Linked DNA regions of Lepisosteus oculatus. The protein of the gene in region 2 purifies or fractionates together with the protein of the main gene of each other region. This does not show direct contact. Links are inferred from orthologs where the notes say so. Each region holds a gene or a part of one and is shown on either strand. Other genes may lie near its edges. The genes, in order: cdc37 and ulk3.

The links.
Region 1: the proteins of ulk3 (region 2) and cdc37 purify together in Homo sapiens (affinity purification with mass spectrometry; 3 studies listed by BioGRID and IntAct, with this or other methods). This does not show direct contact. The link is inferred for Lepisosteus oculatus from reciprocal best matches to the Homo sapiens genes ULK3 and CDC37.

What each region holds. Positions count from the first base shown.
Region 1 is NC_090706.1:15,646,601-15,663,218, forward strand, and holds the start of cdc37 (hsp90 co-chaperone Cdc37), read right to left. Parts: upstream 6,193-16,618; 5' UTR 6,100-6,192; exon of another isoform or gene 6,082-6,099; intron 5,969-6,081; 5' UTR 5,918-5,968; coding exon 5,810-5,917; intron 3,963-5,809; coding exon 3,681-3,962; intron 2,412-3,680; coding exon 2,306-2,411; intron 1,954-2,305; coding exon 1,838-1,953; intron 121-1,837; coding exon 1-120. UniProt on the Homo sapiens protein: Co-chaperone that binds to numerous kinases and promotes their interaction with the Hsp90 complex, resulting in stabilization and promotion of their activity. Inhibits HSP90AA1 ATPase activity.
Region 2 is NC_090700.1:56,474,668-56,490,661, reverse strand, and holds the start of ulk3 (serine/threonine-protein kinase ULK3), read right to left. Parts: upstream 7,645-15,994; 5' UTR 7,583-7,644; intron 7,251-7,582; 5' UTR 7,126-7,250; coding exon 7,027-7,125; intron 6,193-7,026; coding exon 6,052-6,192; intron 4,398-6,051; coding exon 4,277-4,397; intron 4,116-4,276; coding exon 4,020-4,115; intron 3,588-4,019; coding exon 3,444-3,587; intron 2,520-3,443; coding exon 2,437-2,519; intron 1-2,436. Other genes in the region: tars3 (threonine--tRNA ligase 1, cytoplasmic), read left to right, coding at 8,072-8,356, 9,575-9,658, 10,010-10,200, 10,709-10,832, 11,390-11,511, 12,289-12,406, 12,757-12,821, 13,586-13,664 and 1 more. UniProt on the Homo sapiens protein: Serine/threonine protein kinase that acts as a regulator of Sonic hedgehog (SHH) signaling and autophagy.

The DNA.
Region 1 (16,618 bases), on a different chromosome or scaffold from region 2:
GATCTTGGTGAAGAACTGCCGGAAGCAGCCCCTGGGGTCCACCTTCAGGCTCTTGGCTAGCTCCAGGATGAACTGCATCACTATGGTCTGGTGGGCAACCTGCTCCATCAGTGCGTGTTTCTGCAGAGAGACCCCCCACACACACAGGACATGAGTAAATCTTCAGTGACCGTGCTGATGCTACAGAGCCTGCAGAGAAGAGGTCGAGTACCACACCTCCCAATCTACACCTCTGACTGGGAGATCCAGCTCCCTTTTCATCGATTTGTTTCTTGCTGATGGGCTTATAAGGCTGCAACAAAACCCTGCACCACAATAACCTGGAAGGTCCAGATTGGACTGCTTCTGAACCAAGGATGACGGCTATGCTGAAACTGCAGGTTTCACAAGCTGTGGCAGTTTCACTTCTCTGAGTCACCTGTGGATTGTGAAGACGGTCTTCATGTGCCATTTCACTGCAGCCTCAGTCCTGTTTCAGATACCTAAAATGTTCTGATATTTTAAATGTGTGCACTGGTGTCCTGTCTTTGGCCTGTTGCTTGCCAAAATGGGCTCCAGCCCCCCCCGTGACCCGTGAAGGTGGTTACTAAATGGATGGATGGAATTTCAAACTAACTTAAGTCAGAAAAATGCCAAAACAAGATTTCCGGGTGCATCTGCAAGATACTGTGTGCACTTGGGAATTCTGGACAATCGTTCAAAGGATTCCAACTTGCCGAAAGAATGCATTCAACTCCAGACAGGGAACAAGAGGAAGGAGAAATACTGAATCGTCCGGAGGCGTGAAAAAGATACCAAGAACATCATGTGTAATACGTAATCCCATGGAGGACTCAGATCTGGACAGCACAGCACCCTGCGGGACGAAGGTCTCACCAATATCACTGCCGCTGGCAGCTTTTTAAGCAGGGGAAAACTAAAGTCTTCAGGAACGTCCAGGCCTTGGACACCAGAAGAACCTACTAACTCAAGTCAAACTGCTCTCAAAAACTGTAGAGGGATTCAATGAAAAATTGCCGGTTCTTACAATTTTCTTCATGATGAGAATTGTCTACGTGACAGTGAGACGTTTCTGTCAAGTTCACATGGACAGAAGTGTGTGCTGATCCAGCTGGAATGACTGAGCATTGTTGCTGTCAGGAACACTCCCAGTCTACTGAGGGGGCAGCTTTAACTTTCAATCCGGTTTGCCATACATGAGGAAGGGAGACCAACTCCCACTCTATGGCAGGTCAGTCCATTTCAGGTTTTCCCTTTTGGGGGCTCCTAGCTAAAGGCTTAACTGAGGGACTGATATTTCATTCTTTGCTCCATAGATTTAGGCCCAATGTTTTGCTCCTTCAACAGTACAATCTATACAAGAGCCTGCACACTGTCATACCAAGAATACAACAGGCTGCTGTACAACAGGGTGCCATTTTCACCCCTTATGAGTTTTCTAGGATACATCTCAGCCACTGTGTGGAGTTGATATGTTCTGCCTGTGTTTGTGTGAGTTTCCTCTGGGTGCTCCACTTATTCCCCACAGTCCAAAGACATGCTAGTAGGTTAACTGGCTTCTGGGAAAACTGGCGCTAGCATGAGTGTTTTTGTGTCTGTGTCAGAGTCCATCCACCCTGCAGTGGACAGGTGTCCTGTCCATGGGGTGTCTTGCCTTGTTCCCGTTTTCTGTTGGGATATGCTCCAGCTCCCCTGTGACCCTGAACTGAAAGAAGGGGTTACAAAATACATGGACATCTTGACCAGGACTCGGGTGAGACCAATTCCAGAGGCATGCCCCCCCACCCCCCTCCCCATTTGGCCACAGCTGGACTGAGGTCAGGCAGGTGATGCTTACCTCCTCCACCTCCAGGTCAATGCACATGATGACGAGGTAGTTGGCCGTCTCTTCGCACACCAGGTGGGGGTTATCTGACAGGTACTTCTGACTGTCATCCCAGCGCCGTAGCATACCTGAGCACAACCGTGGCTGTTAGCACCCTGTCTGATAGCACGCTCAACATCCATACCCACGCAGACGTACAACAGGAACCAGAGGACAGGACAACAGAAAAGACTGCTGCAAAGGCCAAACCTGTTGCTTTTACAACAAGACTGTCAATAAGAATTCTGAGAGGCAGGCTCTTCTACAGAGGCCAACTGCACTGGGTGTCATCTAATTTGCCTTGAGTAAATACAGAAAACATACAAGAACTGCACTTTACAGGTAGAACTTATGATATAGTAGGCTTATAAACTGGTCTAGATCTCCCATTCCCTTAGTGCACGCAGTACCACATGGTGCTGAACAAATCCCCCAGCTTACCAAAGTGTTTGATCTGTTTCTCGTACTTCTCCACGAAGGTCTTGTGCTTCTGCTCCTTCTCCTCCTCCGTCTCCTCCTTATGCTCCGGCTTGACGTTGAGCACACTCTGAGGAGAGGGATAGTGCGGTCAGGCCAAAGCCCCCTTCTTTAGGACAGACTGGGCTTTACTGTGCACACTTAAAAAACTCCATCTAAGCCCTTCCCACGTAAAAACAGTCACAAAAGAACATTTGGTCTTTGAAGTTTAAAAACCCTGTGTCCATTTTCTTAAAAAAACAGGGAATTAGGGAATTCAAAAACACAGCTGAGTTTGTTTTATCCCAGTTTCCATGGCTCTTTTTGTAAATCACTGTGTCCTTATTCTGAAATCGGACTTCTGAATGCGCACCTGTGTCCTGTGAATAATTCTGAATAACCTCTTTGACTCAAGACTAAAGACACATAGATCCTTCGACTTACTTTTTACTTGACACTCTTTGCAGTGTGGGAATTATTCCGTTTTCGGCTTTAGGTTCTTGAGGTTTACTCCCTGGATTCCTTAAATAAGGAACTGCGTGAGATTTTTAGGTCATTTTTAGATCCCCGGATCTGTACACTTCACCAGATCTGGTAATGGGGAGAGATGCACCAAAGTAACAAGGTGAGGAGACCAGCTTCCTCATGAATCTGGAAATACACCTAGAGGCTTGGGGGCATTCTGAGCAGCCAACCAAACCTCAACTTCATGTCTTCAGGAGGTGGGGTGAAAACATGGGAGGAGAATGCAAACTCCACACAGAATCGAACCCCAGACCCTCACAGCTGTGCTAATCTCCCTTGCCCATGTGCTGCCCTGCGTCTTTGGTCTATAAGGCTGCTAAGTATCAATCAAACCAGCAAGATGTGCCAAATGGCCACTGCTCATCAGGAACCATTTTCTATCTTCTTGTTTTGTTACACTTGTATTATACGTTCCCATCGTAATACCCACCCAGTTTTAACTGGCTCAGCATTTCATTACAGCTCCCAATAACCCCATGCAATAATCCCAATACCAAAAGAAGGCAAATAAGAAAGGGCAGTGTTGCTCCTCCGACCTTCTGGCATCTGCATGAAACAGAGTTCTGGCCCTTGCTGGTGTCACTACAAAACCAGCAGGCACCCAGGATGTGGCAATAGCTGCCATTTGGTAGAGCTGACCCTGGCCCACTCATCTGAACCATAACCCCAGCAGTGCTCAGCCGGCAGCACGCCAGCACTCATCTCAGTCACTGCCTGTTACAAACGCGATCGAGGCTCTACCCCATGAAACCCGGGCCGGCGGCCTGCACAAAACTAAACTTGTTGGACTGGTTTTTGGCAGTGGCGGTGTTGGGGAGGACACACACACACTAACCTTGCTGAAGCCCTCCCTGCTGAGGGTGTCCACATTCCAGGGCTGCTTCTTCTCCTCCCTGCGGTGCTCGTCCAGCTTCTTCTCCCACTTCTTCTCCTCCTTCCTCAGCTGCTGCTCCTCGGCCTGCAGCTTCGGCAGCTCCGCCTTGGCGTCGTCCGTGCCCGAGATCTCCAGCTCCCGGATCTTCTTCTGCAGCTCCGCCGTCTTCCGCTTGGACTCCGTCAGCCCCTTCTCCATCTCTTCCCGCTTCTTCTGGAACTGCTCCATGCGCTCCACCCTGGCCTAATCGGGGAAGGAGGGCTGAGTAAGAGGCAGGGGAGCCATTTCCGAAGCTGTGCCTCACAGGGAAACGGCAGCCCCCAACAGAAAGAGAAAACACAGCTGGTCTATTTTACTGTATTCTGCAGTGACAAGGCCTTTAATCTGTATAAATTAAGAAAAGCAATCATCCTGGTACAGTTCTCTCTGGTACCTATTACACCACCCCAGTTTGAGTATTCACTTTTTGTCCACACCAGTTAACACTTCTCCAGTTCCTGGGTACAACCACCGTATTACACGATTCTTGAAGGGCTGCATCAGTGTATTCTCAATAATGTCTCATTTCCATGGCTAACAATTGGTAAGAAACCCATTTTATTTCACTTCCGCCTCCTTAAAAGTCCATTTCTTAAATTTCTGCTTCCTGGAAATTGTAATACTTTGCGCTTTGGCACTCAGTCTGTAACGCACACAAAAACACTTCACAGCACAATATATTGTGCACACCACGCTGGTGGTGCACTCATCTGTTTCTGTTAGCCTGTCCTGACTTTGATGAGGCGAGATCTATACAAGCACCTCCTTGCAGATGCACTGGCGAAGTGGGTGAGAGATTCTGCCATTGATAATCCTATTCGTCTTTGCCTTGGAAAAAGTCTCCCATTAAAACTGCTTCTTATGCACATTTCTTTATTACACAGTGCCAAATTATAATCAGCATCTGCTGGTCTATATCTTACTCCGAACCCTGTACATTTGGAATGTTCCGTTAATGAGCCTGTCCCACACAGATCCAGAGACTCGAGCTTCCTGAAGCTGAAAACGTTTTATCTATACAGCTACAGCCCCTCCCCTCCTTCATCTTTCCTGCCTCTCTGGAACAGAGTGGAGTGTCTCCACTAATGTTACATTTCTCTCCATCATTCTCAGGCACCCAGGTCTCTGTGATTAAAATAACTTCACAACTGCCTGCTAACGTGGTAGCTTCTCTCTCTCCTCTACTTGGTTTCCCCTACTCCTAGCATTTAGATATAAGCACTTAAATACCTGATCATTTGATATGTTTTTCCCTTTGGCTCTCCATTGATCTATATTCCCCATGCAACTTCCTTTTCCGCTGTTTTTCTTCCTCCCACCTTCCTTTCTAGTTTCTAATGCCCTCCCCTTTGCGTCATTAATTATCGCAATTACTTCCCTCCTGTCAAAGGGCCGGGATGCTAAACATGTAGTTAAAAGTAAAATCAACCGAGAGTGAAGCAGCCAGGGGTTAATCCCCCCAGTGTGGGCGGGAGGGCCGGCACCAGCGGGCTAGAAAGAGCACAGCTGTTCGAGGGAAGTCGCATTCCGCCGGGATCAGAGCACTCCTGGCACAGCAGCCCCCTTCCGAAAGCAGGCAGGTCCCACCAGCAGCCGAGAGGCCGTGCAAAGCCTGGTTCCTGCCCTCTCACACCCAGCAACTGTGGCTGACAGCACCCCCAGAACCACATACGCGCATTAACAGCATCAACTGAGCACAAACAGCGCAGACCCCGGGGGGGATGTATTCCAAAACGTGTTGGGAAGACTTGAGGAGTGCTTGAAGTACCGCCTTTTTGCAAAAACACATCGTCGGGTCTTTGTTATTGGTGCACCACAAAGTACCGTGCACGAATCAAGGCAAGCTCTTAGGAGTAGGCATTTTAAATATTATAAAATAAAATGAACTGCCTTGTTACTCCAGTACTTTTTGCAGTCGTGGGCGGTGGATTAGTGAGCCCCTAACAGAAAGCTCCCCCGGCCCCTAGTAAAATTCTACGTTCACAGACATGCTTATGTGCCCTGCAAACGCCATCGCGATTCATTGTGTCAGGCCCGATTATTTAATTCACCTGGTGCCTCCAACGGAACAGGCTGGGGGTATCGATGTTGGGGTGAGTGTCGTCTTCATCATCAGATACTTCAATGTGATCCCACACGCTGTAGTCTATAGTTGTCATCTTCGCTGCGAGGTCGGATCAAGCACGGACAGCCCGGCGCGTGAATGAACTCTAAAAGATAAGAAATACAGCACACAAACAAAAACCTCAACACTTATTGGCCCGGTGATCTAAATTTTGAAGCAATCTTTAAAAAAAAACACCCCAAGAACACTCCGATCTACCTCCAACCCGTCACTCGCCTTGCCTCTGAATCTTTCTCGAAATCTCTTTTGCTTCCGTTTGAAGTGTGGAACGTCACTTCCGTACGGCCCCGGAGCCTCCCCTCTCTCGCGCCCCTTCGAGAAATCGGTGAAGCGCCGCTCTGTTGCTCGCGGCGGAGCAGCAGGAGCGGCTCTCTAGCGTCGACGTCCCTCCCCCTTTGTGGCTCGAGTCTGGAAAAGACCATGCAAATATGGCTGCGCCCACCCGGGCAGCAGGCGGCCGGACATCCGTACGGCAAGAGATTATACTATAGGTATGAAGAAAATATTTTGTTCCAAATTAAATTCAGCACTACACATTAAAAACATGATTAACTCCAACTGGAAAATAATCTGTTAAACATAAGTCTAGGGTTGATATCCACAAAATTCATTTTATATTAAAGTGGACTATTTCATTTTTAACTGACATTGTGCTACAGTCTTGTTTTCAGACTATAATGTCAATCTCAGTTGTTTTCTTTTTTTAAATTTTATTTATGCTTAACAAAAGAACAAACATTACAGTCGCTCTTCTGCTGTCGGTGGACCAGAATTTCCAAACCCGAGTCCCACTTTGGCTAGGGGGACACTGAGCTTGATAAAAAACTGTCTCTCTTCTTTTGGCATCTTACAAGCACTTTGAGATGGCGGCTTTTAAACGGATTGAATAAAGTTGGTTGTTTCTACACTTCGCTGGCTATTGTGATGGGCGCCACGGTGGAGCAGTGAGTTTGCACGCTCTCCTCATGTTCCCACGGGCTTCCTGCAGGCGCTCCAGTCCAAAGACATGCTGGCAGTTTAACTGGCTTCTGGAAAAGTGGCCCTGGTGCGAGTGTGTGTGTGCTGTGTGTGGCCTGCAATGGAGTGGCGTTTCGTCCCCAGTGCAGCCTGCCTTGCTGGGAGAGACTCCAGCTCCCCCCGACCCTGAATTGGAAGAAGCAGTTAGAAAACGGAAGGATGGGCATTGTGAAAAACTACTATTTGGTAATGGCGTTTCCAGGCACAAACCCCACTCCTCCCTCAGACGCCTGAGGAGCGCCGTGTTCTAGAATCTGGAAGCGTCTCCAGACACGTTCCAGTTTTAATTCGTCCTTCATTACCAACAATACATATTGGCAATGGACCAAACTTGGGCACAGCGGGAAATTCTGGGTTTAAAGAAATGCTGAGTTCTGCAACTTGCTTCCAAATATAAAAAACAGAAAACACGCCGTCATCACAACTGGACTCACAGCTGTGTAAATTGCTGTGCACAAGTCTTCAACATCCTAGACACAGACAGGAATAACTATACTGTGCATATTGTAACGCATACGGCCTCCATTGCTTGTGAGAGCTGGCTTACCAGAGCGGTGATGTCACTGCCCTTCCCTGTGAATAGCAGGGACTGCAGCCGCTGGGCTGATGGGAGATTTCCCTTTGGCTCAAGAGGCTGGGTCCCTGTTGAGTGATGCCGGAGGCCTGGGTTTGAGTCCCTGACGGTGGGGGGCTGACCTGATGTGGCAGTGGTGAGGGTGCCCATGTGAACCATGTGTAGCGTTACAATATTGCTAGAGCTTTAGATGACTGAGAAGTGTCTCTTAGATTTTAGATAAAGTTTGTAACACTTGGAAGAGTAAACACTTCTAACTTCAAAGCCCAGAGGATGTTTGCTGCGGTCTGGGGGGGTCCCTTGAACAGAAACAACTGTAAAGTCGACCTTAGTATACCTAGGTACCTTGTGGATTAATGATTTTCAAGAAGCAGTACAGACACACACAATATAAGATCACAAGAGCACAGAGAGGGGAGAAAGAGGAAGAAACAAGAAGCAGGGAACAGAGAGGAGTCCGGAGGAGTTGGGACTTGAAGTTGCGCCAAGTGAGAGCCCCTACTTCGTAGAGGGAGACTCGTTGGGCCTCTTCCCATCCAAATCAAACCTGGCTGGAGCTACAGTAAGTATTTGACCTTGTTAGAGAGGGCTTGCTATTCAGGGTTTTTAGGGAACTTGGGTTTCAGGTTAAAAGATACCTCAGTTAGAAACATCTTTCCTGTTAAGGGTGCATTTTTATGGATAGGGATATAGGCTCCCATTTATTTTGTGGCATCTGGGGTGCAGAGAGAGAGATTTAACTGCAGGTTGCATTGTATTTAGTTAGAAGCCAGCTCATCTTTCATGTGCCCTCTGTAGGCATTAAGAGTTATATAACGCAGGCACCGTCAATGTGGTTATGCTCAGTTTCTGTCATACTAACATGAACCGAGGATGTCTGTGCAAAGGAGCCCTGCCACATGAAAGTAAACCTCACACCCGAAGAAGGCTCCACAGCCGAAACGTTGTGTTTTCTTTCTTCTCTTATCAGAATGGAATAAACCTTTACTTGTTCCGTTGCAGCCTATGCATGCTGACGCAGATACCCACCTACACTTTTTTCTCACAGATGTTAAGCAAGAGTTGCATTTTCCTTTCCAGAGAAAGCTGATTTTTTTTCCCATTATGGACTAGAATGAACAGAACTGAAAGGCAAATAAAATGTATTTGTGTTGCCAACGCTCTGCCCGGAATAGAAAAGTCTTTAGAATACACAAAAAGCAGAAATCCAATTAAAATGATGAGTCACACCTAGGGAGGCTCACAAATAACAATTTGCCTTGAAGTGACAGGAATGCTAATCACATGCAATTAGAACTCAAGAGCCCAAATCTGCTTCTCTCATCCATCCATTATCAGACACATCATATATGTTGTGGGGCAGTAATAAAAAACACAATCAGAATTTTTGTGATGTATAGTTAAGTGGAAAATTTAAAGCAAAGTTTTTTATGTAAAACCTCATTTAGAATGCTGTGTACCATTTTAGTCACCACATTAGAAAAAATATACTGCTGTTCTGGAACCAATCCAGAAAAGAGCAACCAGATACATTATAGGATTTACTGAATTAATTCTTTGTTCTCTGTACAAAGGGGAACTGATTCAATTACCCGAAATCCTAACAAGAATTTGACATGCTCAACCCAATGGACTTACTTAGAATCAATATTTGAAATATCAGGCAGAGGCCACAACTGGAAAGTACAGAAGTTCCAAGCCCATCTAGTCCATTTGGTAGTTAGCAGTTAATTCATCCAAAGATTTTATTCAGCTGATTCCTGAAAAACATAAATCAGGGTATCGGAATCAAATACATGGCTGGGTAGATGGTTTCAAACTCTCACCACCTGTTCTGTTCTCAGTTTGGAATGCACGTCCACCTGAGTTCCTCATGAATAGGCCTTGATATAAATTCCTTCCACCCATTTTCTAGCCCCTTTATCCAGGGTTTGTGGGGGAGCTGGAGTCTATCCCAGCAAGGATACACCCTGGACGGGATGAAGGTCAGTCATAGGGCAGATACACAGACACACAGGGCTGATTTTCACAGAAGATCAGTATGTTTTTGGACTGTGAGAGAAACCCGGAGCACCTGGAGGAAATGCACGCAAACACAGGGAGAACACACAAACCTCCTGCAGATAGCACCCCAGTTTTAATTTAAAGTTGTAGTTTGGTTTGTTACCAGCAGAGGGCACTATCAGGTTATTAATTATTCTGCATTGTAATTGAATCATCATCAATATTAATTTTAGTTTAATAATAATAATAAAAGTCAAATAATTGTACAACTAAACATTCATTAAATAACTTGAAAATATAATATTTTTAGTCACAGAAAACGATTTTCAAAAGGATCAATTTAATTATTAAAAAGTCAAATTATTTGTTGAATGAAGAAATTGAAAGTCTAGACACTATTGTCACCAGGGCCAGAATTACAAAGTTGTTCTGTTTTGTTATAGATCAAGGAGGCTCTGGTTCTGCTCGTGCAAGTTTGGTCTCTTTGAGGCACCAGCACTTCAACAGCTGGGAGAAGTCTTTTAATTGGTCCGACGATGGCCAATAATGACATCATTCAGGACCATAAAAGCAGAGGTGCAATGAAATCCTTTGAAGGCACCATGGTTCCAATAAAGCTCATTTAAAGGTTCAATTAATTAAATGAGAAGAACAAAAACCAAACCAGAGAGTGTGTGGGAATCTGAGGATTTAAAACAGAAAGTCCTGCTCTAGATCAGACAAAATAATAAAATTACTCTTATTTGAATGTTTAAGAACTTTCCTTTGTCTGCGGATTTAATATCTTGAAGAAGAACAAATGCATTTAGCTGCAGTAACGGTAAAGCTGGATAATTTGAAAGAGAACTGTGTGTGCTAAAGGTTTTTCTATCTTCCATCTCAAAATCCCTCTCAGCCTCTTTGATAGCAGCAGTGTGCAGAAGCCGAGAGTAATGAGACACAGCCTTCCCCCCATGTGCTCAGAAAGCCAAGTTAATTCCCACCAGAGAGCCATCCCTCCCTAGCCTCGACAGGTCCTAATTCTCTCCCCTTGGCATTTCTCTCTTTCATTACCCTCCTTCTCTCTTCCTTCGGGGATTCAGTTGTGCGAGTGTGCTGGGATTAGGGATTTCAAACGTGTAGAGAGAAAGACAAGGCACCAGAATAAATTGTGTGCTCTAAATTCATCTTATTGAGGAAACCGGAGTTCAAGGGATAAACAGCTTGCGACCTGGCGTGGTGATGGACATCTTGCCCCTTTTCGGAGGCTTACAAGTGCAGATACACCGTTCAGCAACAGGCCCAGCAAACCTGTGGCCAGGCAACAGTAGAACCGATTCCCTCCAACTTCCCTGCCTGCACAGCCATGTCTGTGAGGTGGGTAGGAGGGCTGGCCCACCACAGTCTGGATGGACTCTCGTTTTTCCTTCTTCCTGCAGAGACTGCAGAGGAATGACTCATGTGCCCAAAGCCATCAGAGTGCACTTCCCAGGGGGTGAATAAATGGACGTTGGAGGCACCGAAAGAGAGAAGGGGAAACTGGTTTCAGTATTTTCTGATCTATACCGGTGCTTCCCGAGACAGGTATTGCAGGAGGACTCAAGAGTTTGCTGGTGGGGTGGAAGGCAAAACACATAATGGAGAAGAAGGTGTGCTCTCGTGATTGGGCGGATTTTATGTGGCTGTTCAGTTTGCTGTTAAATTTATATCTACCTGTCTGTTGAAGATGTTCCCGTTAGGACACATTACCTTGCCTGTCTCGCTGGCCAAAGCTTGCAGCGCCACGCAGAAGAGTGAAATGTTCAAATTATCTGTGGACAATACAAATGTTAAAGCTTTTAAAATCCCTCGGCTTATGCCAGAGACTATGTACACCTGAAAAAGACACAACCTGGGTGCAACGTTTTCTCAGTCTTTCTTTCTTTGGCTTCTTGAAAGAGTGCTGATATTCACTCCTGGTCCTGTAGGGACACTGTTTCTTCAGGTTTTTATTCCACCCTGGACTCTTAATGACTTCATCTGAATCAATTGTTCATTTAATTGGTCTATATTACCACTGTTTCCAAGTCTTTACTCACCGAGGATTATGTTACCCATAAAATCTGATGAACCGTGAGCCTCCAGGACCAGAAATGAATAGCACTGACCTAGAAGATTGTTTTTGTTTTACCATCGGTTTCGAATGTAAAACCTTCCCTAATAAAAGGCACAGATTCCCAAGACAATGGAAAGATGGACAGATTTGAGAAACCTGAGTGCCACTCACGACAGTAAATACACACAGCTGGTTAAACAGGGACAGTCTGTTAGTATTGCCCTTGACTTACACAGCCAATTAAAGGAGGACAGTCTGTCGGAAATGCCCTTGAGTTCAAGCCTATTAAGCTTATAACACCTGCTTTCTAATTATCAGTACCAAGAGGTAATTTTCCTTTAACTACTCAATAAATCATGAAATCTATACTAATAACAAAGAAATGATGGTTAACTATCCTGTATCTATATGAAAAACATATCTGTAATGTTTGTTATCATCTACTGTAGATTTCATTATTTGTCTACATATTTTGTATATCCTGCTAATGCATCTTAACAGCAGGAACATGGAAAGCCATAGGTGTGGCTCTTATCTGATGTAGCTTTAGCAGACAAAACACCAGATTGGGGTAATAATCATTCTGATGAATGGAGCAATTGTCTTAATCAAGCCCCCAGTGCCTCAGCATATCTGCTCTTAGCCCTGTGAAGCACATATGCTTAACAATAAAAAACCCTCTCATGAAGCCACAAGTAAGCTGACTTCCAAAACTGCAGTTTCTCCCCACAGACCAGGAAATCAACCATGAGATTTCTGCAGGAAAACCTTCAATAGGCCCTGATGATGGCCAAGGCACCAGACAAGTACAAAGGTGTTTGTGCCTGCTCTGTGTCGTGCGCGGCGTTTTATCACCACAACAGTAATAATCCAGGTGGATGCTGCGCAGTGGTGGTGGTGGAGGGGAGTTCCAATTACATGTAAAGTGCTTTGAGTGGAGTGTCCAGAAATGCGCTATAGAAGTGTAAGCAATTATTATTATTAACACCCAGTCTGTGGATTCTTGGATGGCAGTACCCCATTGCCAACAAGTGTTAGTGTTGTTGCTCTTTGTTAAGTGGGTGTTCTTATCCAGGGCAATTGACACAAGCTGCAAAAATACAATTGTGCCAAAAACTGAATGAAAAATATTTAAAAAATCATATGGCCATTACCATTGGTGTGTCAACATGGCTTATTCAGAAATAAGAAATAAAGAGCGCTTTGAGATGATGGCTTTCACAGTCACAGTCAGCAGAGCTGGGACTAACATGAAGCCACAGTCTTCCATGCTCATGGAAGGAACTTATTGTAGCCTGCTGTGCTTTTGATTGTATCTGGGGGTCTAAAAGTGAATTTAAACCCATTTATCTGCAGGGATACTCCAGTCCAGCAACTATGATAGACAAAAGTAACGGAGCGACCAAACGGCACGGACCACACCTTCTAATCGCGTGACGTAATCGCGGACTCGTCATCATCACTGAGGTTAGTGGGCAGGTTGTTACGTACAGTAGGAATTTTACCAGCACTTACAGTCTTATTCAATCGGCGTCACGAACGGTAACATCACCAAACCAGGACACATTTTCAGGTGACTAGGCCGGAAGGGGATGATGACGCACGAGGAAGGTGCACGCGGGGTGTGGCAAGTGAGGCGCGAGAAGTGACCGTTAAAGAAACTAACAAGGGGAAATAATAATCCTGAAAATAATCTGTTTCACACAGTAAGACCATTCTTTTCTACTATCATATGTGTTTGTGTATTGTATGAATCGTTATTTTTCATAGCCACGATATTGTTTTCAACGTGTTTTGGTTCGTTGGGTGATGTAATGACTCACCTGCTTAAAACGTCCCTTGGAAACTTGAGTTACATTTCTTTGGACCCCTGTAATAATTTTGTTTTATTAAACTGACGATTACCGAAGAAAACAGATTGTTCGCGGCGTTGGCTATATGGATGTTAGCGAAAGACTAAAATGGCGATTCCCGCCAGGACTGGTATGCCAGGGCAACTGCGCTGCCCTCCAGCAGGGGGCCGGTTTCACAGCTGAAACCTTTCATATTAAACTCGAATTCATTGAATTCATTCAATGGGGGCTGGTAAATACAATATTTTACTGTTGTTAAACCCATTTATAATATCTTATTAGAGAAAAGTATGCATTCACAGTAAAGTTTGATTTTGCAGCAACATTTGAACTGATTATTTTGTATTCTAAATGGATGTATCATATCCTTACAGTGCCTTGTACTATAGTCCTATTGTATATCTACATCTGAAACCACATTTGTTCCCCCTGTGTTGTAAACCTGCTTGCTTTACTGATATCTTGCGAAGTGCATCTGTGCTCATCTCTGACGTCAAGTTTTGACTGAAGGGGCACCTTCCCTTGAGCCTTGTGATTGTCACCTTCTTGTAAGTTTAAGGAGAGATTTGGAAAACAATTCAAGTTTAAACCTGCAAATCCTTGTACTGCATGCTATGGTTATTGTTTTTTAAACCACAATGCAATTGTTAAATTGGAATAAAGACACTTCAATTTATTTATATTGTTTAGTATATATATTTTTTAATTAGATCATGGTCTATTGATCATCTGATTACTGATTTGTTTAATCTGGTGCCGTATTCAGTAGGTTCTAAATTGGATCTGACTTTGTTGCTTCACGAGCTGCTCATCAGGGAAAGGGCACTCTGTAAAATAATTAAAAAAAACATTTTGGGAATAAGCTGATTCATTGTAGACTGATCTTTAACAAGTCCACCAGCCTCTCCTGTTCGTCAGATGTCATCTACGGTAGAGTTTGCTGCCGCCTGTAGAGAACGTGTTGTCTCATTTTAAAGAGGGAAAAGGGTGTTATCGTGCAGGAGAATGGGAATCCCACAGCTGCCTTTCTTCCTGTCCATCAGGGCTTCTACAACTCTGCCTGTGTAATGAATGGAGACACAGTCTGCGCAGGTGTGCTGAACAGTTAGTTGACAGCCAGCAGATTGACAGCACTGGGAGTCTCTCGGCTGATGAATGAGCTCAGCGTTCTGACAATTAATGGTACCTCCACACAGTCCAGAGAGAGTCTGACGCAGTTGAAGGAAGGGGGTAAGTTAGCTTGCCAAAGGCACGGAAAATCTGCTTGTGCTACAAGTGCCTTGGGATTTACGTACCAGAAAGTTTCCAGTCCAGGGTGCCCCCCCCAGTATCCTTCTCGAAACCTGAAACATAGTCATTCTTTTCAAAAGGAAAGGATAACATGCTATTTTCACCCCAGCCTGCAGCAGGCTGTCAACTGATTACAGGATTGCAGGATATTGTTCCTGCCAAGTGGCTAGTTTAAGCTAAGTGCCAATGTCTACGGGGTGTGTGTGTGTGTGTGTTGGGGGGGGGGAGGCTGCTTTGCACTTAAGGCATGAGTCACACTTTTCACAGCCTGATTGATCACCCATCTGCTTCGTGGGCATGACGCCATTATGACCTCATTGTGTGGTGACATCGCTCACAGAGCACTGCAGCTGCAGACTGGGGAGCAGAGCTGAGAGCTTCGTCCATTCTTTTGTTCTTCACCTGGTGTGGCAGTCGATGTTGAGCAGTAGACACCAAAGAGCGTTCATTATCGTTTTGATTTGTAGTATTCTTCTAAAGCAGTTTCTGCCATTTCTAGAATGCAGTAATAAAGATGGATATTGTTGGATCTGTAACTGCCCAACCTAATTTATAAACTGTATTGCAAGGATCTGAAATTGTGCATGCAAGTATTGTATTCGCCCCTCACTCAACCCACGTCCCCCCCTCACACAGATCCTATTTTTTGTCTGAAAGTAAGGCATTGTTAGAAACCATGATGCTCAGAAATATATTGACAATACTCTCATGCTTTCTACAGACATGCTGCTCTGTAGCACAGCTGACTACTCACACAAACACATCATGACGTCTTGTCCCAAGCCAGTTCAAGGGGACAGTTGTCAAGACAGGCAGCATTATGAAGACATGAGGACACAAGTGGAAATTAGGCTTAGGAATGTCCAGGACAGAAAAAAGAGACAATACTTTGCAGAGAGAATTACAGGAGTCTTGGATTCTTGGATCAGTATAAGCAGCCATCAAACAAGCATGTTGAGCTGAAAGACCTTCTCTCATCTGTAGCTTTTTTTAGGTTGCTATATTCTTATAAAGGAAACCAGAACATATTAGCTGTCACAGCTGTGTAAGTCAATGTAATGAGATTACAGGACATTGCTATACATCTTGTTCAATAGTTTTGTCTCCTGGCCTAATGTAAAGTTAATTCGCTTTAGATTCAAATTACAGTCTACCCCTCTAAGGCACAGGTACGCTGACTTATCGCTAAGGAGACTCATTGTGTGTTTTAACAGCAATTGCTAACCGCACAGAGGCCGTGTATGATACCATGATGTTGCTGAGCTTCTATTGAGAGCGTTGACCAAAACCGTCACTTTTGAGTCCAACCATGCTTGTAACAAACAGTCACTGGCGTTTATTATGAGCTGCAATTGTGAAGTAATATATGATGATATACAAAAAAATGTTTTTGAACAAGGAATACCTTTGTGAATGAAGTGTTCAGGAGCACTGTCTTTTGTCAACTGATTGATGTTTCATGGACGAGGTATCAGTTACCAGACAGAGACAGGAGTTGCTGTGGAGGCAATACACCTGTGGCCTCCCGTTGGGATTGCACCACTGGAATGAGGAACAGTATGCTTGGCGGATATGGTGAATCTTGAGAAAACTTCGGCGGTCCCATCTTGTAACTTTGGGTATCCTGTACCCTTGCCATAAATACAAATTTCGTCCCATTTGAAAAGTGGAACATGCACTTTTTTTGGTAGGGGAACCCCAACCCACCTTGTCCCAAAATGCCCTCTCTTGCAAAATGACACCAATTTGAAACCACTGTGATATCAGATCGTCATATCGCATGTACCCTCTCCTCTCTGAGACAGTACGGTACCTGGAGCAGAGCAATCTGTATCAGTTAGTGACATTTAGATAAAACCATTAGAACATAATTTTCTACAAAACACGGTTGTTTGGACCTGATTCCCATCTGTCTATGGTTTA
Region 2 (15,994 bases):
GAGACCTTGACTCTAGGAGATCTATGTGGATAAAATGTGCTGGTGAGGCGGGAAGCAGTTTGGAGGCCGCTGAACCCGGGACCATTTCTATCTTTGTCTCAGTGACCAACCTGAACGATGCGTTGCCCTGCACAGACAGCCCGGACACTCATTTACAATCACATCACTGTTAGCGTGACTCTGTTACTAGCATACTGTTGAATCCTGAACAAAAGGGGGTTTTGCATCACGAGACAAAAGTATGAAAGAAAAACCTTCCAGAAAAAAAACAGCACAAGTTAATTTAAATCTCACGTGAAACATGATTCCTCATAACTAAAACAACTACATCCGAGTGACAATATTCAGCACAACCAAGACAGTAATGTGAAGAAAACCTACTGGTAATTACAGACGGAGCAAAGGCACAAACTGGGGGCCTCCCTCTCGGTCTCCAGCTCTTACTGCGACAACTGTTTTTCCCGGAGCTGTGCCTGTGCCGTGTGAACTCTGGTGTCTCAGCCGGCAGCCTGGCCACTCCTCTGACCAGGGGCTGGACACTGCACCTGCTGATGCACAGGCACAGAGAAACGGGGGCGCCCCCAAAAATATCTCAACACCACCCTCCTCCATTCTCCCCTCATCCTCCCACCTGGGCTGTCTGGCTCTCTTCCTGTCTGTCTTTACAAGGGGAAGCAAATTCCCAGACAGTCTGAGCAGGCGCCTGTCCCAGGGAGAGCTGCACCTCCAGCTGAAAGAGCCAGGCACTGCGCCACACTCCTGCACCCTCTCAGCCGAGCCGGGGAGAAAACTGCTCTTGTAACTCGAGCCTTAGTTAGGGGCTTACTGCTCCCCGGATTGAGAACTGAGTGCTGAGGGAAAGGAGAAATAAGTCAAGGCCAGATCCAGTGCTGAGGACCACAAATCTGGGGGGGAGATAATCATGTTTTGATCTAAAAGGCTCCCTGGTCATTTTTCTCCTCTCAGACCAAAGATACAGTGGGAAGTTTCTTTTGGTTGCCAAGTTCATGTCCACAGTTCTTGGAATTCTTGGAGTTCTTGGAGGTTTTTAAACCCACATTTTAACCACAATGTCCACAAAAACCCGGACAGTTATGATTTTAGTTTCAATCAGACACAGACTTGGCTAAAAAACAATAAAAGAAAAGCTGTTAAGTTTTTTTTTCAGGCCCTTCGAGCAGGCATACAATAGATCCGATTTTTTTTTTACAATAAGATTCTGTGAAAAGAAAGACTTTTCCCATGAGCAGACGGGACAACAGTCATATTATCAAGTATTCAAGAGGACTAAATAAACTTAATAGACTTAAAAGACTGTGGTCAAATTATAATATGAAATGTGAGTATCATTACATCAGTACAGAATACCTGCACATGACGTGTTCATGTATTCACTTCAAGAAACTTTACATTCTTTTCTGTATTATTTTCTTTATCATAGTTTTTCTATGGTAAAACATATGGCATGGGGTTGCAACACTATAAGATTTGCTCTCTAACACTATAATTCTTTGCGTGGTTTAGCAGGAACAAAGACTTGGAAGAGATGCTTTGACAAACTGGACTAAGCTTGCGCAGGCTGCCCTCTAGTGGTGAAGAACTCTCCTCCTCTCTTCCTTATGGCTCTTTCCACTCTTTTCCCCAAAACACAAATCCAATACACACAAGGTCTTTAAATATTTGATCACGCTTCATCTCTAGCTCCAAAATCTTTGGCAACACTGAATGGTGTGTAAACATCCATTTCCAGAGCTGCAGTCCAGCTGTCACAACAGACTGGTTCAGACAGAGCGGACTCGCTGGGTTACTCGAGGTTGGCCGGGAGGTTGTGGCTATGGCTTTGTCATTCAAGAAGACACAGCCGTTTGTAAAAACAAGGGTGCCAACCTTGGTGTTCTGACTACATTTCACCTTAGACTTGTAGAATCTGTCATTCCTGAACTTCCTTAATCTGAATGATGAATCAGTTTCTCACTTCTCTGCCTGATCTGTGCAGTGGGGCCGCACCTCACTGGTGGGTGACTGGGGTCCCCTCTAGGTAAAGTGCTTTGAGAAAACTATTGGAATTCTGATTATTATTAACTCTGAGCTGTGTCCTTGAGGCTGCTAGAGAAATGCCCTGTCCAGCAGCTATCAGAGAGTGAAAAAGCATTTCTCTGGCTGCAAGGAATTGCATCAGGCAGGCAGGCAGCAGCCTCAAGGACACCTCCACCACCTCCACCACGCGCGCTGGCGTCAGGACACTGAGGGTGTGGCTTGGCTTTCAACAGATGTGGGACTGTGAAGGACGAAACAGGGTCCACTGGCGATACATCAGATGTTTGTCATTGCCTCTGCTTCCCGCTGCGGGCACTGTGCTTGCCGGAGGGCAGCGTCGCGAACACATCGACACAGAGGGACACTCTCGCTCCTGCTCCCGTGGCAGGTGTGTCTCACCTCGATGGGCCAGTCGCTGCGGATCTTCTCCTCCAGCTCAGTGTAGGACCGCGAGGCGAAAGGGGGCCGGCCGAACAGGGCCTCTGAACACACACAGGGGGCAACGACACAGACTGGGTCTTAGGCGGCGCAGCAGAACGCACGGTGCCATGGGACATCGCCGCATGCCAGGTGAGCCTTGAGGCAGGTGGCAGAAGCAGTCGATGTCCCAGAACACCGCAGGGCTGCAGAACCATGCTGGCATGTAATAAGATACAGAGAGTATCGAGGTGTAGCAGGCCAATTGAAAAACAAAAAAGAAAGATTTAAATAAGTACTTAATAAATTGTATCGATAAGTGCATTTTTCATAGATAAATCTCAAAGTTCAGTACAATTGAATGTATGCAACCTAATTAAAAGCTAATAAATACTGAGATTTTGACTGCTAGCAGATCAGAGGCTTGTACAAGAGCCTTAGATGAATGACCTTTTAGCAGCTGAATCAGCAGAAAGGGTGAAACTGTCTCCTTTCATCAGTAACCTTCCTTAGGCACTAAAAGGGTTTGAAACTGACTGATTTCAGGAATCCAGAATAAGACCAGAATAAGGCTGAAGGCACCCAGACACATTCGCCTGCGACAAGGCAGCGCTGTGGGGTACCAGCAGGGGGATGGCCCACAGAAATAAACAGATTAACTCAGATGTATTCATAAACTTCAGGCCATGTAGTGATGTGGCATCTTGAACATGACCTCATAAGCCTTCCGTAAAGAAAGTAAATACCCCCAGTCCAGATGCCCTTTCGTACAGCCTGCATTACATTTCCTGTAAGCGTCACAGAAACTAGACTGCAGACGTCACAGGGCTCCTCTTGGCACAGCGAGAGGTACTGGGAAGTTCTGTCCGGCCTCCCCAGCCAGGCAAAGGTGCAAACGAAGTCGCTCCCTGCGGAGCCCCGGAGAACGGGGGACCCACAGCGTGTGCAGCGCGGCGCAGCGCGACCGGAGCCCCCCAGAGCCCCCTCACCGTACAGGATGACCCCCACAGACCAGAGGTCGACTCGGGCGTCGTACTGCCGCCTGCACACCATCTCCGGAGCCATGTAGAGGGGGGACCCGCGCAGCACGTGCTTCTCGTCCCAGGGAGACATGTACTGGGCGAAGCCGAAGTCTGCACACGGACACAGGGGCGGTGAGGGGGCGCTCCACACGAGGCCCTGAAGGGCCCATACAGTGTAAACTACTGCCTACTGATCAGGACACCCACTGGAATATGCAAACGTGAGCGCTTTGAAGGGAGTAAACAGGTTTTTCCAGATCAGAAAATGCAGCTCTTCTCTCTTGTGCATTTCTATTCAATCTGAGTTTGTTTCAGAGGGAACACTTTAAAATAGCTGCAAAATCATCATGACTTTCTAATGAACAGCACTTTTATAACACCTGCTATCCTGTGCTGCTGTCCCGACATCAGGAGTACTTCACCAAACTCAGCTCTGTCCACAATTTCCTCCGACGCCACACACAGGTGTCCTGTAAGAGCAGGGCTGAATTCGGACCCCCGGCCTGCAGGGGCTGTGAGCAGGAAGCTGTGGTCAGACTGTACCTGCCAGCTTGAGGACGCTGCCACTCAGCAGGATGTTCTGAGGCTTGAGGTCCAGGTGGCTGATGTTCCGCTCATGGAGAAACTGCAGGGCGCAGGCTGCAGACGCGCAACACAGCAGAGTCAGGGCTCCGGTCGACCACACTCCCAACAGCTGAGCCACACACTTACTGGGCGACAGCGTAAGAACACAGCCTACAAACCCAGGACAGGGCCAGCAGGGGGTTGGTCAAGCAGGAGCAGGAAGCGGCAGGACTCACCGAGCTGCTGCAGGAAGCGGCGGGCCACCCTCTCCGGCAGCATGTGGCGACTGCGAATGAAGCGAGACAGGTCGCCCCCAGAGCACCACTCCATGATCAGGTAGATATTCTCACTGTCCCACTGCAGCCAAGACAAGCATCATCAGTCCACCGCCCCCCACCAGGAGAGCGCCCTGAGGACAGCGGCGGCTAATAACATAAAGAGCACACAACCACCTGTCTTTCTTCGGCTTTCAAGGGGTTCTGTTAAATTTGAAATGATACTTTTATTTGCAACTACTGGTTTACTTCAGAATAAGTCCAGAAGTCAAAAACCTCCTTGAATTTGGTGTCATAAATGTTTAAGGAAGCAACATCCATTTTCTGTCCGTGGCCACAGTGGAACCCCAGTCCAGTCTGCTGAAACTCCTGTCTACAGCTCAGGAGCCCCTAGACATGTGTGCCTTGTCCCAGGAAAACATTTACAATGTACAGTACCCATCAAAGCTAAAGGCTTCCTCTCGAGATAAAGCAATTACTTACTTTCATACTTGTGTTTATAGGTCACCTGACTGGCAATGGAGTGACAATAATAAATCTGGACAATATTAGATCACCAAGATGACATTGTATATATCCAGCAACCTAACTGACTGCATCTCTTGCAGAATAAGCCCAGCTATTTACATTGGTGAGACAGGAAGGAGACTGGGAAACTGTTTCAGGGAACACGTCAGGACTGTGAGGATCAAAGATCTCTCCAAACCTATAGTTCCATATTTCACCTCTAACGCCCCTTAACTGTTCGAAGTATCTCCTCCCATGCTTCAGTAACTGCTGGTTTACCTTATACCTGAAGAAGGCCCCACAGCTGCGACATCTCTTTTCTTTCCCATTCCGCATGGAATAAACCGTTACCTGTTCCTTTACAGTCTACGCATGCTGATGCAGCTACCTGCTTGAACTTCAATAATAAATCTGGACCTCAAGCTGAAAAGGTTTGTGTAAAGGCAAGCTGGCCTTATTGCACTAGAACAAACATCGCTACAGGTACATGAGGTTTAACAGGTGGAAAAGTGCCTTTCACTACTCCCCCCACTCAGTGAGCATGAATTACAGTTTTAGAAAGCTCAGAGACTTTGGCCTCTTTAGAAAAACTGTCATGATACTGTAAGGCTTCCAGACCAACAGGCATCTGGAACTCACATGATAAATATGCCAGGTGGCTTCCTCTACTCTAACAGTACATCTTTGCTTTAAGGCCTTGCAGACACGTCTCACAGCTTGGCAGCAGGAGCCAGACTGCTCCCCTCAGTGCAGCCCTCAGACTCTCACAAGCGCTGTACAGAGTCCTGCCCTAGTCAGTGATGCCACACAGCTTGTGGCGAACAGCACCCTGGAGACACACAGTGTTTCCTTTCTGCATCATCCGCAACATGTTTTTAAAAAGCGCACAACAACTCAGGTCATTACATCTCTGGAGACAACAGGGCAGTACAGGAACAAGTAATAGGTTTATTCCATGCTGAAAAGAGAAGAAAGAAAACAAAACGTTTAGGCTGTTGTGCCTTCTTCGGGTGTAACCTTACTCCACAGCCGAAATGTTGTGGTTTCTTTCTTCTCTTTTCAGCATTGAATACACCTATTACTTGTTCCTTTGCAGCCTACGCGGTGCTGACACAGCTACCCAGCTGAACTACTTCAACAGAGCAGTACGCTTTGTCCCTCAGGAAAGTGTCTGCAAGACCTTCAGAAAAGGGCTGTGTGTGTGGCTCCGAGTGGTGCAGATGGGGTACCTGGAAGTCCTTGAGCTGGACAATGTGGGGGTGCCGCACAGTCTTGAGGATCTCGATTTCCGTCAGCAGGTTCTCCGTGGATGCCTTGTTCAGACTCTTCTTCCCCACCACTTTCACAGCCACCACCTCCCTGCTGTCCTTCTGCGAGACAGTCACTGTGAGTCCAGCTTGTCCTCAAGTCCAGATCCCACCATGCCCCTGCATCATGACTGCCCCACCCCTGAGCTTACTTTTCACCTGCTCCTGCACCCTGGAGCACATCAGGAAGTGTACCCAGTCTCCACGTGTAGCAGCAGGAGAGTAGTAGGAGTAGGAGAGTTTTCCAGAGACAGGACTCTCAACAGCATCCCTGCCCTCTGGTGGTGGGGCAGTGTCAGGAGCAGGGAAGGGCTTGGGAGATACAGAACTGAATCCTGGGTCCAACAGCGTATGTGACACAAGTGTATCTGTCTCCATTAGTCAGAGATCATACATGTAAGTTTTACAAGGCTGGACTCACTGGAACCACTTGGTTCTTGGAAAGAAATATCACAGTAAAAACAAAGTGCAGTCCTACAAATTGTATTTTTACACTGTGAATGTTCAACTTACATATATTTGTAAAACACAGCTTCAAAAATCACCAGCCAAGTTCAGTGTGCTTATGCGAAACCACCCGTTCATGAAAAACACAGACTCACGTTATCTGCAGTCCTACAGGCCACTGTATAGCTGTGTATGTGCCGCCTATATTTGCAAACACAACACCGATACTGGTGGTTGAAGCGAAGGAATGGTGATTTTTCACACTGCCGAGTCCATATCGAAGCTTTTCAACAGGAACTCTGGTTTCTGACGGCCATATTTTGCAATAATCAAAATGAATGTTATTACTGCTATCAGAATCCAAAGTGTCTTATCAAAGTGGGGAAACTGCGAGCGCAATGTCGGTATTCCTCGGAAGCTCTGTGCACGGCAGAGCCGCGGAGAACTCACCTTCCTGTACGCCTTGTACACAGCGGCGTAGGTCCCGCTGCCCAGCCTCTCGGTCAGGATGAACTCGGACAGTTTCGGGGGAGCGAAGCCCGCAGCCATGCCGGCAGTGGGACGGCGGAGCTCGGCTCAGGAGGCGGACAGGCTTGGGGCCGCGGAGCTGCTCATCCTCCCCACTCTGGAGCCGGGCTGACTCGACATGCACCTACTTCCTTGTTGAAAGCGCTCTGGGAATTACATGCACCAATAGCGCGTCGTCACAGATCCGAAAGAAAATTAGAGTTAAATGGCAATTTAATGCGATTGAAAATGCCAGATCTTTTATGGGCAGAGCAGCGATGTATGCAGTGCATCTAAACCTAACATTTTCCAGTAAGTAACGTGTTTCCAGCGGCTATGTAAAGTGACCCGATGGTTTTAAATAAAGGTATAGAACAATAGTTTCCGAACCGTTTTGAGCCTCGTAAACCTCAATACGTGCACTAGTCTAAATCTGTATACTAGGGGGACTAAAACAGTGTGCTCAGGGCGATCACTTATGTTTTTTCTGCAGACTTACTTCCACACCTGCTCAATGTGCATTTCTAGCTCTGTTTCCATACTGTACACTGTACAACGTCACCGCGATTTTAGTTACGGACGAAATCGGTGCTTCCCCCTGGCGGTGAGATCCTGCATCGGCTCAGTACCTGCATCGCCGCTTACTGAAGAAGAGAAGTGAGGTATGCTCCAATTACTGCAGTATACTGTAGTTTTAGTGGTGGTTGTAGTAATGATAGAATTAATAGAAGCAGCAATAACAGTAGTATAGTAATACTGAAGCTTTATGGATAATGTTTTTAAATGTTTTTAAAAATACCAAGCGAGGGAAATTTAACTCTGCCCATATGCTGAGTTTAGATTTCCTTACGGTTTAACCAAGCAGCGCCTAATCCCAATGTGCTGCTCACGGGAGCCAGCAGGGGGCGCTACAAGCCTGTTTCCGCGCAGTGGCGCTGCTGCCAGCTGTATTAAAGCCGTGGAAGAGGGAAGAAGCCGGGATTTAAAGATGGCGGAGTCTATGGTAGCACGCCTGGCCGCGCAGGAGGAGCAGGTCCGCCTGCTGACCCAGGAGGTGTCCTGGCTGCGCGGTGGGGTCGGCGGAGACCCCGCGGCCGTGGCCGGCCTCTGCAGCAGCCCGGAGCTGGAGACCCTGCGGAGCGAGAACGAGAAGCTGCGGTACCGGATCCTGCATCTCCGGAGGAGCCTGCAGTCCGAGTCCGACCCGGAGACGGGCGCTCGGGAGGGCGAGGAGGGGAAAGAGACGAGAGCTGGGAAGAGCAGCAGCAGAGAGGTACCGGGGAATTTAACTCCGAATCTACTGTGCCTGAAAGATGTGTTACTGTCTGATTGCACAGCCCTGAGCAGCTCTTCCCTTTAAGGCAGTGCATCGTGCAGTCATGGGTCTGGTTACAGGCGTTCTGAAGACTCCTCTTTGCTGAGGCAGGCACGACATGATCATATTAGTGTATGGAGACACCGTGACACGGTCAGGCGGGAAATGGTATGATAGCTGTCGTGTCAGAAATTAAATAATTCTCACTAGTGGTGGAGCAAAAGTTTCAAGCCCATGTGAGGAAGCTGCATCTGGTCTTCAGTCCCTTGCTGGTGACGTTGCCTGGCTCGCTGTACGACAGTTCAGCTGCTGTATGCTCTCAGTGCCATATGTCACCTTCAATCAGAGCAAATGGCTTCCATCAGATCTACCCTGTTTCTGTATGATCCTTTGTGAGCTCTGTGCTTTTTATTTCACCACCATCTCCAAAGCCGAAGGCATTCTGTAAGTGAACGTGCATCTCAAAGCACCACGGCAAGCTTACCTGCATTGTGACCCCTGTACTGGGTTTAGAACGTACCCCAGTCCTCATACTGCAGATGAAGCAGCCTGTGCCCTTACCAGTGACGACGCACGGCTGGCCAGACACTGCTGGGTGTGGGGGTGTTTTGGGGACCTACTACTGGGGGTTCAGCGCTCCAGAGTCTAGGATCATGAGGGAGCTGGAGTGTGTGGGGCTCTGGGCTTGCAATGCCTGAGAGCCCCTCTTGACAGTGTGGGTGTCAGGCCCCCAGGAGTGGAGTCAGCACCCCTCCTGGCCTGGTAAGTCTCGGGTTCACGCAGGTGGGCGCCAGTCAGGAAGTGTCGATTGCTGATTCTAAGGTTTGATCACACCAAAACAGACTGCATTGAAGAGTGCTGAACTAAAATTCATCTAGCGTTATGTTAAATTAATTGTAATATTGCTCCACAGTGACTTTAAATGGGTATTTCTGAGTTTATCCTAGATGTATGATTAACACGTTACTAGTGCAATAGGTTTATCTCTAAATCTAGACTTTAAAAATTAACTGGGGTTAATTTTAAACAAAGATGAAATATAGAACATGATTTGAAATTTTCTGAAGCGTAGTAACAATCTAATTCTTCATTTAAACTGGTGTAGAAGTTCATTTGTGCAGTCAGATGTACGTTCTTAAAGAAGCAGCTGTCTGACTCTTGGTTTCTGCCTGTCAGCTGGGCAGCTCCGACTCCCGCAGTGCTCAGGGGACGAGGAAAGAGGAGCAGGAGAACTCCAGGGGCGAGCAGCCATCCGGAGAGGTAACTCTGCCCGCCGCACCTTGTCAGCCTGGCTCCTGACCGAGACGCAAATCTAGTGCTTCAGCTTAAGCCGCACGGGGCTCTCGAAGTCAACAGCACATTTCTCCAATAGTGAGAAACTGACACGGCCAACAGAAGAAATCACAGACTCCTCAGATCGGAAAACAAAAGAAGCGAGGAGTGCGAGAGCAACCAGCAATCAGTGACGCATTAGCAAAGTCTTCCCCTCTACCGGCTTTAAAACAGCCCAGTCTGACTGTTCCCTGGTCTTGTGTTCATGTGGGCCCTGCCTTCCGAACGTGGTCTTGGTAAACCCGGTGAAGGAGCTCTCCTGTCTCCCCGCTGTCCCAGCTGCCCCTCTGGCCGAGCTACGTCCAGGAGCGGCTGCAGCTGTACGAGCAGCTGAAGCGGGAGAGCGATGCCCTGCTGGCCCGCAGAGCTGCCGCCGAGAGCCGGCCTGTCCGGGTGCAGCTGCCGGACGGGCGGCGCGTGGAGGCCCGCAGCTGGGAGAGCAGCCCCTACCACGTGGCCTGTGGCATCAGGTGAGGGGCAGGGCTGCGGCCGCAGGCAGGGGCTCCTTGCCCACAGGATATCGCTCGGTCCATTGTCACTTGTACAAGTACTCTTTGTCTAATGAGAAGAGTCTTTTGTAAAAGCTGTGGTTCAGAGAGCTCATTGAGCAGCGTGTGGGGTGTCTCTGTCTTGGGGGATGATGGAGAGGGTGGTGGGGTGTGGGGCACCTCTGTCTCTGGGGTTGATGGAGTGTTGCTGGGTGTGCTTCTGTCTCATGGGGGGGTTGATGGTGTGGGGTGCCTCTGTCTCTGGGATTGATGGAGTGTAGTGGGGTGTGGGGTGCCTCTGTCTCTGGGATTGATGGAGTGTATTGGGGTGTGGGATGCCTCTGTCCAGGGCTGGGTGTTGATGGTGTGGGGTGCCTCTGTCCAGGGCTGGGTGTTGATGGTGTGGGGTGCCTCTGTCCTGGGGGTTTGATGGAGTGCAGTGGGGTGTGGTGCACCTCTGTCTCGGGGGCTGACGGTGTTTCCCTCGCAGTCAGGGCCTGGCTGACAGTGCAGTGATCGCACGGGTGAACGGAGAGCTGTGGGACCTGGACAGACCCTTGGAGACGGACTGTTCCCTGGAGCTGCTGCGCTTTGACCACGAGGATGCCCAGGCTGTGAGTCCCCCGCTCTCTCTCTGTACGTCCTCGAATTCCCAGTGGTCATTTAGCAACTGGATCACTGTGAAGAAGCCAGATATTCTGACAGTTAAAATATTCACTGCAGGTTTTGTTGCCAGTTCTGACGGTGTTTCTTGGAGTGATATGAAAATGTGCTAAAGATCATCAGTCCTGATCATGTGTTTTTCGTGAACTTTTGTGTTGATCGTAATGAACGTGTTGTGTGGAGCTTCTCTTCTCTGGATGTTGTCAATTGATCATTTCACTTCGGGGTTTAGGTTTTCTGGAGTATGTTTTATCGATTCTGTAAGTAAACATCTTTCAAAATGTACAGGTTAGAGTAAGTTTTTGACACTTATTATCCACAAAGTTCAATATAGAAATGATAAGCTATTCCCTCAGTGAGGCTCTGTGAGCTTTGAAGGTCTGTTCTGGAAAACTAAGCAATAGGTTGTGCATGTTGTGACTTTAAAGTATGTAAAAACCAGAGAAAAATAAGTAACATAAAGCTGAACTCCTAAAGTGCAGCTTTATTCAAACTGCTTGTGTTTCAGGTGTACTGGCACTCCAGCGCTCACATCATGGGAGAGGCGATGGAGCGTTTCTACGGGGGCTGTCTGTGCTACGGACCCCCCATCGAGAACGGCTTCTATTACGACATGTTCCTGGACGGACGGTGAGGCTCTGCAGTTCCTGTCCGGTCAGATACCGGGAGGTCAGCTCTGGAGCTGGTCAGTGCTTGTAATGCAAGTCATCATGTGAAAATCCAGCTGCTGCTGGTTGGGGCTTTGTGGGCCGGCAGGTGGAGCTCCTGAATGCTGACGGAGGTGCTATGCTTTAGGATTTATTCTGGCGAGACATTAATGCTTGATCCTGTCCTTAATGCTGTGAACATGTGCCATGAGAAGCCCATTTCACAAGAGCAGGGGTCATGTTCTCAAGTCAGGTTGCATTTTCCTTTGATCAGAAGTGCCCCACCTTTACTGGGTAACGTGGTATTTCCCTTGTCTTTACCTCAGTCAACAAAATCAAGAATTACATAATTACAGAATTGGATTACAGAATCAAGAGGCTCCTGGTAACCTTGTCATTTGAAAACGGAACAAGTTCAACAGCTCCTGAGTTCATGGGGAAAGGACCTGAGCTACAGTATGTCTCTGAATGCAGTTAGAGCTTTGCCACCTCCAGACTTTCTCACAGCTTTGTAACAAAGTACACTTCAATACCTCGTGCACAGGGGTGCTTCTGTGTCAGGCAGTAATGCTGTTGCATACTCCCTGTCCTCGCAGTGGATTGCTACACTTGAGCTATTATACTACACTTGGTGTTTGGAAAGTACTCGGCAGGAATTGAGCTCTGGAGTGGAATGTATGGTTTTTGATCTGGTGGGTTTCAGAGCTGCGTGTTTCCAGCTGCTCTGGTGGTCCCTGACTGTGCCCCCGTGTTTGTCTAGAGGTGTGTCGAGCCATGACTTCACCGAGCTGGAGGGCATCTGCAAGTCGGTGATGAAGGAGAAGCAGCCTTTTGAGCGGCTGGAGATCAGCAAGGAGACGCTGCTGCAGATGTTTAAGGCAAGAGCAGATGTTGTAAACTCTAAATTACTGATGTTCTGGTACTGACACACCTGACGTGAGCCCTGAGGCCACAGGTGCTGCAGAGCTTCTTCCTTTGCCTGGGAAGGGCTGATACCCTCCTGGCTGTTTTGCCGGATATTACTGCTGGCACACATGGCTAAGGAGTCACCTGTACGCGTTTGTTTACAAACTAGTTAAAACCATCTTAATTGTATTTTAAAGTTCATATGCTGATTTAGCACGTCTTTAATACTAGAAATGAATTATTCCACTTTTTGAAAGAACGTTTTTAGCAAAAGTTACCAAACATATGTTTTATAATGCTGGAATGACTTTTTTTATTGCAGTACAACAAGTTCAAGTGCCGAATTTTGAACGAGAAAGTCAACACACCTACTACTACTGTATACCGGTAAGAGATGCCATTTCACCTGCGCGGTCCTGTCTGCTGATCTGTGTGCACTGTGTGAGGGAGGACTACTGCTTGGGTGGACACAAAGTGACAGCTACAGATTGGTTGGGGACAGACTGCACCAATCTGAGAGTCATATCTGAGTTTAATTTAATCTTTTTTGCCATGTGGAGTTACTAGTACTTAATTAATCTTTGAATCTCACCTTACTGCTTGTTTGTTAGCCCCAGTGTATCCACTTCAAGAGAAAAGGACTTGATCTGAACGCAGGGACCCAGTTTTGCTTAAGTGGGAATCATTCTGATAGGTCAGGCCTCAGTTTTATTCAGATGAAGTGGGAAGTCCTGACCAGTGATGCTTTTCAGTCTTGCTCATTTGTCTAGCAGAAAGTTTGTATGATTCTATGTCTTTTTAAAGATGAAGAACCTAAATTGGTCCAGATGAGACAAGGCAAGCCTTATCTGTATAAATCTGGTGTCTGCTAATGTTGGCTACCACTGGCTTTGGACACTCATCACAGAATTTTGCCGCAAGTTGTCCACCGTCGAGTGATGGCTTGTGTTTTGAAGGTTATAGTGTAATATGAGGAGGAGGTATATATGAGATTTGAAAAGTAAAATTGACTACTTGCATAGTTTGTTCGATAAGGATTGTGATAATCCGAAAATACTTGGAAGGGAAATGTCTGATGCACTGATCTGAAGGGTGAGTCAGCAGTTTGGCAGTGTGCTAACCTTGCTGTTGTCTGCTGCTGCTTCCTGGAGGTGTGGGCCTCTGATCGATCTCTGTCGAGGACCACACGTGAGACACACTGGCAAGATCAAGGCCCTGAAGATCTATAAGGTACCGTTTACTCTACAGTACCTCAGAGAGAGGGAAGAAATGGGATAAAATGCTGCCTTCCCTTCTCAACCATCTCTCGCCAACACTCGCAGCTTAGCTAAGTTCTCTGCGGAGTGCTTAGTTGTGCCATCTTTTTCACTGCTTCTTTCAGTTTTTATTGATTTCACAAAGAGTAAGATGTTTTTAGACAAGAACGGTAAGTCAGCTTAAAATTTTATAATGATACTATTATGCTGTGCATTCTCTAAACCTTTTGCCCTCTGAAAAGAGTTTTCAGGATCCTAGCAGTTTTAGATGACTAACATTTCTGACATGCGGCTTACTTCAGTACATGTAACACAGGCGGCGGGTTACGCTGTGGTTATGGCTGAGCTGGGCTCAGCTGAGGAGACAATGGTAGGAAGCTGCCATCTGTAGGATCATAACTGAACTCCTCTAAGTCTGAATCCCTCCTTTTAAAGGTGCCTTTAAGGTAAATGAGGTTGAAAATAACTTTGCAATTGAACCCTCAAGCAGAACCAGATGCACTACTGATGTTGGCAGGTTGAATTCTGTCAGGCCAGGTGAAAGAGCAGTCTGATCGAGGGACCTAGGTACTGAAACCACTGCACACATCATCCTGTCTGATTACCTTGCCTTACTTACCATTAAATGGGCCTTTAGGAGCACAAGGAACAAAGTTACCCTGAGCCTTGCATGCAGCCAGAGCTGGAGAGAAGGTCCTGCATATTGCCCTTGTGCTCTTTAACTAAGATACCTCCCCAGATCCTGACTAACTTTTACAGATGCAATACAGAAAGCACACTGACAGGTTGCATCACAGTGTGCTGTGGCAACTGCAGTATTGCTGACCGCAAAGCCCTACAGAGGGTGGTGAAAACTGCCCAGTCCATCACTGGGGTTGCTCTCCCATCCATCCAGGACATTTATGACCGATGGTGCTTGAGGAAAACTCCAAGTATCATCCCCACACACGCCAGCTACACCCTGTTTAACCCTCTACCATCTGGAAACGGTACTGGAGCGTTCGGGCCCAGACTACCAGACTCAGAGACAGTTTTTACCCCCGCACTTTCAAACTATCAAACTCCCAGCCTCTCTCGCCTACGATCTGAACCCTTATGGTGCCTTCTCTCCTTATCAAAACTCAAACGCACATTGAAACCTACCTCTAACTCACATGTCAAGATGTTCACTCCCCATCATTTTCTTATCCTTTATTTCATTCTGTGACGTACAGCTGGTATTTTGCACATTACCTGTTGGCTCTGTCTTTCTTTTCTTACACAATTGTATTGTTGTTTTTTTCTATTACTTACTGTCTGAGCTAAATAGAATTTCGTTCTACCATATACCAGTGTATGAGTATAATTTCAAGTTTATTGTCCTTTAGAACTCATCCACGTACTGGGAGGGGCGAGCCGACATGGAGACGCTCCAGCGCCTCTATGGCATCTCCTTCCCCGACTCCAAGATGATGAAGGAGTGGGAGCGCTTCCAGGAGGAGGCCAAGAGCCGGGATCACCGCAAAATTGGCAAGGTAAAGGAATAAAGGAAGAGAACCCCGTTCATTTCCCCCCAAGTACAGGCAGCGCTTCCTTTCCCAGAGGCTGTGGGAGTCTGGTACAAGCTGCACCGCCATGTTGCTGGAGCGGACACTGTCTGGATGGAACCTCATGTCAATTGGCTACTAACTGCCAAACGGACTAGAAGGACTGAAAGACTTCCTCTCGTTTGTAACTGTGCTCATGGCGAGGAAACGCAGTGATCGAGACGCAGCTGTGCTCCTGGAGTAGAGGGTGTCACAACGGAAGGATTCACCTAGTTAGCAGAAGAAGTTCAGTCTCGTAGGATGAGAGAGCATAAGAATATATAAATTAGAGGAAGACATGGTCACTTGTAGGTAACCAATTCTGAAATGTAATCCAGTTTTTACGCTTTTATAAATAGTGTTTAAATGTTGTATACCCTAAGCCTAAAAAGTGAAGAAGTGTTTACATAAATAATGTTAAACATTACACACAGAAAAACTAAAGCGCCAGACTACAACATAAGGTCCAGCCCTGAAGGCAGATGAGTTAAAACTGTAGGAGACTTTCATTTCCTTCGGGAGGCTGGGATACACAATAGAGTTAAGTTGTTTATTTAGATGAGGATTTTTTTTTCAAGGGAAGTGATATAAGAAATTGAATTACAACACATTTCTTCATAATACTGTGTTTGAACCCTAAGTATTTTGCATTGTACTCCATGGCAACAATGTCTAGTCGAATTACTCCAATTGTAAATGAAACCTGTGAAGTTCCTGATGATAGTCTTATTTTGCCACT